Linked DNA regions of Mytilus edulis. The protein of the gene in region 2 purifies or fractionates together with the protein of the main gene of each other region. This does not show direct contact. Links are inferred from orthologs where the notes say so. Each region holds a gene or a part of one and is shown on either strand. Other genes may lie near its edges.

The links.
Region 1: the proteins of brefeldin A-inhibited guanine nucleotide-exchange protein 3-like (region 2) and prohibitin-2-like purify together in Homo sapiens (affinity purification with western blotting; 4 studies listed by BioGRID). This does not show direct contact. The link is inferred for Mytilus edulis from reciprocal best matches to the Homo sapiens genes ARFGEF3 and PHB2.

The regions. Positions count from the first base shown.
Region 1 is NC_092356.1:14,001,129-14,005,065, forward strand, and holds the start of prohibitin-2-like, read right to left. Parts: upstream 2,849-3,937; 5' UTR 2,774-2,848; coding exon 2,644-2,773; intron 1-2,643. Other genes in the region: large ribosomal subunit protein uL29m-like, read left to right, coding at 2,918-3,054.
Region 2 is NC_092353.1:63,908,769-63,912,705, forward strand, and holds the start of brefeldin A-inhibited guanine nucleotide-exchange protein 3-like, read left to right. Parts: upstream 1-1,509; 5' UTR 1,510-1,672; intron 1,673-3,937. UniProt on the Homo sapiens protein: Participates in the regulation of systemic glucose homeostasis, where it negatively regulates insulin granule biogenesis in pancreatic islet beta cells. Also regulates glucagon granule production in pancreatic alpha cells.

The DNA.
Region 1 (3,937 bases), on a different chromosome or scaffold from region 2:
TTGATATAAATTAGATAAATATGGAGATAACCAACTCCATTCTTAGATTTTAAACCACAGCCAGGTCAGAGCCACACATATATTTGAAAAGGCATATAATAATTATATCTTCAATTAACAGGCAAATATTCCCAAAGGCCCAATTAAAACATTATCTGTACTCTCTATATATATATTGATAACTTTCTGAGTTCAAAACATTTATTTTAAATTGCAACACTTTTCAATGCCTCTAGGTTTTCTTGAATAAAAAGCCAATTAGATTTGTCACTTGTGCTTAACTTTTCAATTTTTTTACAACTTATTATTATATTATCATTAAATTCTTTTCTTAAAAACTTATAAAGGGGAAACTGACATTTATGGTATAGTTGCCAATGACATAACAGCCTGGAAACTTATCACCAGAGTCCCAGTCTCTGTTAGCAGTGACAGTTAAATTACAAGTCACTTGACATACATCAACAATCAATACATTCCATTGTTTTAAGGCAAATGAGGAAAATAAGAGTAACAATAGCTTTTGCCTTCCTACATGCACAAGAGAATATTAGAAATTATAATATAAATTAGTAAATATCAGAGGCAAAAAAGACAGGACTTAGCCACTGGACTTTTAGTAAAGTACCCTTACTAATCCTTAGAGGAGCTGTTGTATACTAGAAAAAATTATGTTGATGATTTGACCCCATCAATCAGCATTTTAGCATTAATACATTATTGTCAATTGCTATCTGCTCTATTTGTTCCAACCTGTCATGAGAGTCAAAATGTATATCTAGGGTGGGAATTAAACCCATGTATGTTCATTTACTTTATTGTTCTTTGTGTACACAAAATGTACATGTCCATGAAATATATCAAATGCAAAAAATGCTGTAATGTATCATTACACCCTCATTAGTTAAGGACCAAGTAAAAGAAGTCCCTGCACCTACATGTACCTAGACGTATTTCTTGGGTAAGATTTATTATATAACTATTGAAAGTATAACACGATAAATGTTATTGGTAAGTATATAGTAACATCAACGTGCAATTCAAGTAAACAAACTGTCAAACATAAACAATCTACCACGTGTTTGTCTGCTGTGCTTGAATTCAAAACGACCCATCAGGCTTATTTACACGAATTTTTGCTCAAGCAGACAGTTAAATATGTCCGTTTACCTTATGGGGTCTGTTAAGAATGTATTTGCTGTTATAAATTGTGTATGCATGGAAATATAAGGAAGATAACATTGATTTTTACCGTAACTTTTGAATACATAACATTCCCAAGGTATCCCCACAAAACACATGGCTACTTTGTAACGACGGCTGGTAACGTGTAGCCACTTTCTAACGGCAAATGCGATTGGATGATCTTCAAAGATCAATAATAAAATTGCTAATAAATGATTGGATACCAATTTCTGTCAGATTATAAATAGGTGAAAAAATGTAAACATTGAAATCCGCCATCTTGACGTAGGAAACAAACTAATTTTCAGTCTTGGATTAAAGGACATTGCGCACATTGCCAGCGTATCATGCATAAACAGTCATCTGCAAATATATCTTTCAATTTGTGTTTTACACTTACTTTTCTATGTTTTATTTAATTTAATGTTTTAATTTACTACAGAATGGGACATCGTTCTCAAAGATGCCGTAGAAAAAATTATAGGTGGCGCTGTTTGTGGGCGTAAACATTTTACATACGGGTTCTTTTTTTGTCGACAAATTGACCTCTATCTGTCAGATTCAGGCGTTTGCCTTCCAACTGTACTAGGTTATAAGTTCCTGTAAATTTTAGGACTACAAGATATTGTGACTTCAAGGTATTGAGAACTAAGTTAGTATCTGTATGTGCACCGGTTCCATAATCCACTTCCATATATAACAAATTTGTAAAAACATACTTGAGATCAAAGAAGCCAAGCTGTGAAAATAATTTCCTTTTCATGCTTAACAATTTGTACATCAGTGTTTTATCCCATCAAAGCTGACTATTCTATTTGAGAAAAATGTTATTTTCATTATTAATCCATCAAAGACAATTCATATACCAATCACTCAGTGATATCAAAGATTTCAAATTATTATAAATATATATTTCTTTCATTAATGTAACATATACATATTGATGATCATAAATGAAAATAGGGCGAACGAACCCAGGGCGAACAAACTCAGTGCGAACGAACCTAGGGAAAACATGTAATCAGGGCGAACGATCCCGATACCATCACCCAATTACATAAAAAAATGGTGGGTAAAAACCCCAATTTGTGAATTCTTATCTGGAGCTCTGTAGCCATTTTTATATCGGGCATGCTATGCCTGAATTTTTTTACAGATACGCAGGTTTGTCTGTACTCAGAGTAAATTTTGAGGTGACAATACAGCCATTTTAGCCATGGCATAGGGTCCACTTGAACCTTAAGTGTATTGCATGTGCATGTGGAAGATAAAAGTTTGAGTTCGTTGACAACTATGCCAGTTTGCCAACTAGTTGTCGTTGTCTATGATGTTTCTATCATTTTGACAATAGTAGTTAAATGTGACATTATCGCAGTGTAAAATAGAGAGACAATTTTTATTTGTTTACATAACTGAAATTATTATAAGGTGACCCTTTTCTGATGTAACATTTCTAACCAGTGTAAAATGAATTTGCAATTCCAAATAAGCCCCCAGCGGCTGCTAAGAGGCCTAAACCAGCTCCTGCAAATTTGCCTCCACCGCCTTTCATGCGGCCAAGAGCTTCTCCCATTTTTTTAGGATCCATGGTCAGATTTTCTTTTATTAGCCGGTATCTTGACTTTCAGAACATGTGGTGTAAAATCTCGTGTCATCTAAATCGCGAGAGTGATTAAGAGAACGTAAATATAGGTAAGCGTTTGTTTGACATTGACGAAAAAAGAAATGAAAAATGTCATTGACATTTATAAACTTCAGAACACTTAGTAATGCAACTAGGCAATTAATTAAGACATCATTACCCGGTGTTAGTCTTCATCCTACCTCAGCTTTTAATGTTCAACACAAGAGGCCGACTATATGTGACAAGTATGAATAATTTCTAAAACACTTTTATAAATAATAAATCATTTCAGTTGACATCCAAACTGCAGTTCAGTTGTGTTATGTGTACAGATCTTCAGCAATCTTCTTGGAAAAGCCTCCTTTGGCAACAAATCGCCATGTCAATCCGTTCTTAGTTGTTCTGCCAATTTTCAAGGTTGCATTTTGTGTGCCAGCAAGTAAGACAGCTTGACGTCTGTGATTTCAGGTACAATGTATCACTATCAGGTCCATTCGCGCCCAATACACTTTCACACCTTACACGTTTGCACCTTCCACGTTCGCACCCAAGTTCCGTTCGCGCCTAATTTTAATTTAAATTCAAGTTGAATAATTGGAAAATCATGATTGTTGTTTTAAATTGCTTTGGTGTAAATACTAAATGTATATACATAGCTTGGTATGGGTAAAACATTGAAGATTTTAAAAGAAAAACACAAAAGATAATTGTTTTTAACAGCTTGGTCCCTTTGATCTGAAACAATTAAACAATAAAATATAGCTATACACTTTTATAACCAAAACATGATAGAATCCCACTTTATTTAGAAAGGATTTTTTTAATTTTTTTAACAATACACTATCCAAAACCTGATTAAGATTTATTCAATACAAAAAAAAATGCTGTCTCACTTTATTTTAAGACAATGACAACAGATATACTTATAAGAATACACTTGCCAAAACTTGATTACAAAGTTAATAAACACAAAACAAATTAAGATTGGGCGCGAATATGTAGGTAGCGAACAGACTTTGGGTGCGCACATGTAGGGTGCGAAAGTGAAAGGGGGCGAACATGAGTGGCTGCGAATATGAATGGGCGCGAACAGACCCGGATGTCTAACAGTGACGTAATTTGATATAT
Region 2 (3,937 bases):
CAGATAACAAAAAAACTAAAAGCCCAATAACAGCTAACAAAGAATAAGACAATAACAGCTAACAGCAAATATATTTTCAAAATAACAGATAACAAAGAATTAAATTGCCCCATAACAGCATAACAGTTAAACCCCTTGCCCCCCCTCAGTGATAATGCTTGGAGCACAAAAATCATGCTTGAAACACCAAATCCTGTATTTTGACATATACCGGCCTCTCTAACTTTTGACAATCACTTTTCCATTGTGGCGTCAGATGTTTTGTTTTATGACGTCAACAAAACTTTACGGGAACATCATTCTGTTCCTTTATAATAGAAACTTTATAAAAAGTAAAAAGAAAAAAAACAACAGTTAAAGAATACAGATAAATTTACTTACGTTGGATCTTAGTGCAGTGGCTTGGTGAATGGCGTTTACTTTGAATATGACGTCATCACTTAAAAAGCGTCAAAACTAAAAGCCCTAACAACGGAACCAAAATCGGAAACGTTACGGTATTTCCGTATCTTTTTTTTAACATGAATAAATTCGTACAGACTTCGTCCCCTTTCACAGGTAATGCCTGCCTCATATCAAATATTGTTCATTAGTTCTACCAATAAAAACAAGACAAATTAAATCTAGTACATAATAAAAGAAGAAATTTTGCTATGTAAATTTTAGGGATGTCGACAATTACGTTGCTACAACGTTTTAATTACGTGATATATTTGATCGATGAACAGTACATATTGCAATTATTTTTTTATTATTTTTTTATTATTATTACGATGTATTATTGATGACAAAACATGGTTCCTCTTTTATAATAGCGTAAAATCAACTTAATATTTTATCGACCAAAAATATGACGACGTTGCTATAACGTCACAGATACGTGACAGATGCGTCGCAATATGACATTGCAACAACGTAATATAAACGTTATCAAAAACAATAATAACGTTGTCCTGACGTCGGTTCTACGTCGTATCTGACGTGACGTAAAATTACATTCTCACAACGTTGCAACAACGTCGTACTTTCGTAACGTCAGTCATGACCTTCCAGCGACCAATACATAACGTCGCAAGGACGTCATGTGTTTCCTGGGTCCCTCCTTTGGTGACCCAGCAGTCAGCGGTCTTAGGTTCACGTATTGCTTTTCTTTCTTTTTTTTTTTTCTTTTTTTAATGAAAGCAACTTTTTTTTATTTCCACCTCTGATCTGAAATAGTGGTGCTCCTTGTGAATGAAGACTCATACAGAACATACAAAAAAAATCCAACTTCCGAAGCAAGGTTGCCGAGTTTATGAGCTTCGGTCCTTGCCTGGAAGTTGAAAAAAATCACGAACTGAGTTATTGCCCGTGCTATTTTTCAATGCTATATGTGAAAATTTAAAATTAAAAAAAAAGAGAAAAATCTGCAATATAAGTGTGCAAATACCTAAAATAATACAGACAAAATATCTCAAAAAAATCTTCGAAGCACAAACTCATAAAATAATGTTGTTGTGAATAACCTATTATTACATTCGTAAGCGGCATTATTATGATTTGGCAAAGATTTGAGACTTAAACTAAATTATCGCCAAAATAGAGAAAGAAACTACATAAATGAAGCGTACAATATAATATGAGTGTTCTGTTCATAGCAAAGCGTATAATTGTTAATCAACACGACGATTAAGTGAGTGTAACTAGATGAGAAAACCGCAATATGCCGGCAAATTACCCGTAATCAGATAATTTATTACTGTCTGTTAGACCTACTGTTATTGTTGAATCACAGGCACTTGTTTCTATCCATAGGAAGGTCGACTATCCATATAGATAGAAGTATATGGATAGTCGACCTTCCTATGGATAGAAACAAGTGCCTGTGTGTTGAATCCTTGAACAGGTTGTTTCATCCATTAATTATTTTGTAATCCATAAACATGATAAGTGAGGCCCCTCATGGGGGGGTCCTAGTAATCACATAATCACCATTTTTTTGCCAATATAATCACATAATCATTAAATATTTGCTTATCTTTAGTAATCAAATAATCATAAACTAAAAATACAGCCCTAGGTAATCAAATAATCGTGAAATATTTGGCTTAATAATCAAATAATCATTAAAAAAACGGCCAAGTAATCACATAATCAAAAACCCCATGAGGGCCCTCATAAGTTTGAAGTAAAGCTGGAAGACAGGGGGTTTTAACTTGCATTGAACAGGTTGGGGACAACCTGCCAAATGTGGAACTATTCCCTAAACGAGTAACAATCCCTCATTTGAGTAATCATTTCATAACTATTGTGCTATTAAAAAACTAAATTTTCTAAAAATTTGTCTTTTTATGTAAAATGGCACAAATTTATAGAAATTGGAACAACTTCTAGCAAAGAACTATATTTTTATTAGGGGTTTTAAAAAAGTTAGTAGCCTTGAAAATAGTCAAATTTTCTAATTTTTCATAGGCTTGTATCTTCTCAGTAAATCAAGTTAGGGATAATCATTTTTTGGAAAATTTGCTACATTTTTCATGAATATGTGCCATTTTAAGAAAAACAACTCAGATAAGAAAATTTTGTTTTTTAGCACTACCAAATGATTACTCAAATGAGGGATTGTTACTCATTTGGGGAACAGTCCCCAATTTGATGGGTTGTCCCCAACCTGTTGAAAACATTGTATTCTCCGGGAAGAATGCTTGTCAATTTGTTCCAAGCCAAGTTGTTTCAATCAAGCCAATTTGTTCCAAGCCAATTTGTCAAAGATTTGGTCAAATCGTTCCAACTGATTTGGTTCATTATAACCTTGATTTAACAATTTGTTCCTGTTTTTCTTCATATATGGGCAGGAATTCGCTAGTGAAATTTTAGGGTCAATAGTGTTTATCCAATTAAAAAATAAAGAAATCATGCAAATATGGAGCTTTAACATTGTTTAAATATCAAAGTGCGTTAGTCTTTATTGCCAAATGCAAAAAAAATGGATCCAATTAAAAAAATCAACAAAAAATCAGCACTTGTTATGTGCTGGTAGTTGAAAACTGTAGACAAAAAGTGTGACATTTCTGCAGTGGCAAAACCCCTAGTCATATTTAGAATATGCCTGAAGAATTGTTCTACTATCATAGTTGAAAATCAACTGCAAAATGATCTGTCTATCATTTAGAAACCCCATTTTGTACAGAATCCGATTATTGCTGCAAATAAAATACGTTTGAAAATGGACAAGTGCATGTAACTTTTCCCGTCAACAAATGTTACATGCACCTTTTCATTAGCTGATTAGCTTTGGAAACAAGTTATTGGTCCAGCATGGCAAATTTTGAAAGGTGTCAACAATGGGTAAAATTTGGATTTCATGATTTTTATCAATCAACTGAAGTTTGAAAAATATAGAAGGTAAGAAAATTTATTTCATTTTCGTGTCAATACTGCCCAATAATACTCATCTTTTTATAACAGTTGTATACTTTTTATAGTAAGCATTACCATAATTATTTTTTTCACATTTCAACCCACTGACAATTACATTAAAATGTGGCTTTGTCATCTTTCACACTAGGCATCTACCAGTGATCAAGCAGATGATAAGAGAGTGGGACCAGGTTAATTTGACCTCACAATGAAGTGTTACATGCACTTCCTGTGTAAATTAGGTTCTTTGATAATGATGTGTGACTTGCTTTGCAATTTTGTCAAAAAATATAAGTTTATCTTGTATTTAAACAGGTTTGACCCTTACGATATTCATTTTATTGCTGGAGAGATTTCTGTACATAACATTGACACGAAAATATTTACCAAGGAAAGGTGTCTATGATACATGCAAAAGCTTTTTTTTTGTACGGTTTGCCTTATCAATCTAATTTTTTACATGAAATACCACAGATTAATTGCCAATTTGATTAACTAGTACTTGTATTCATTCTCAGCATTATAAAGATAACTGGCC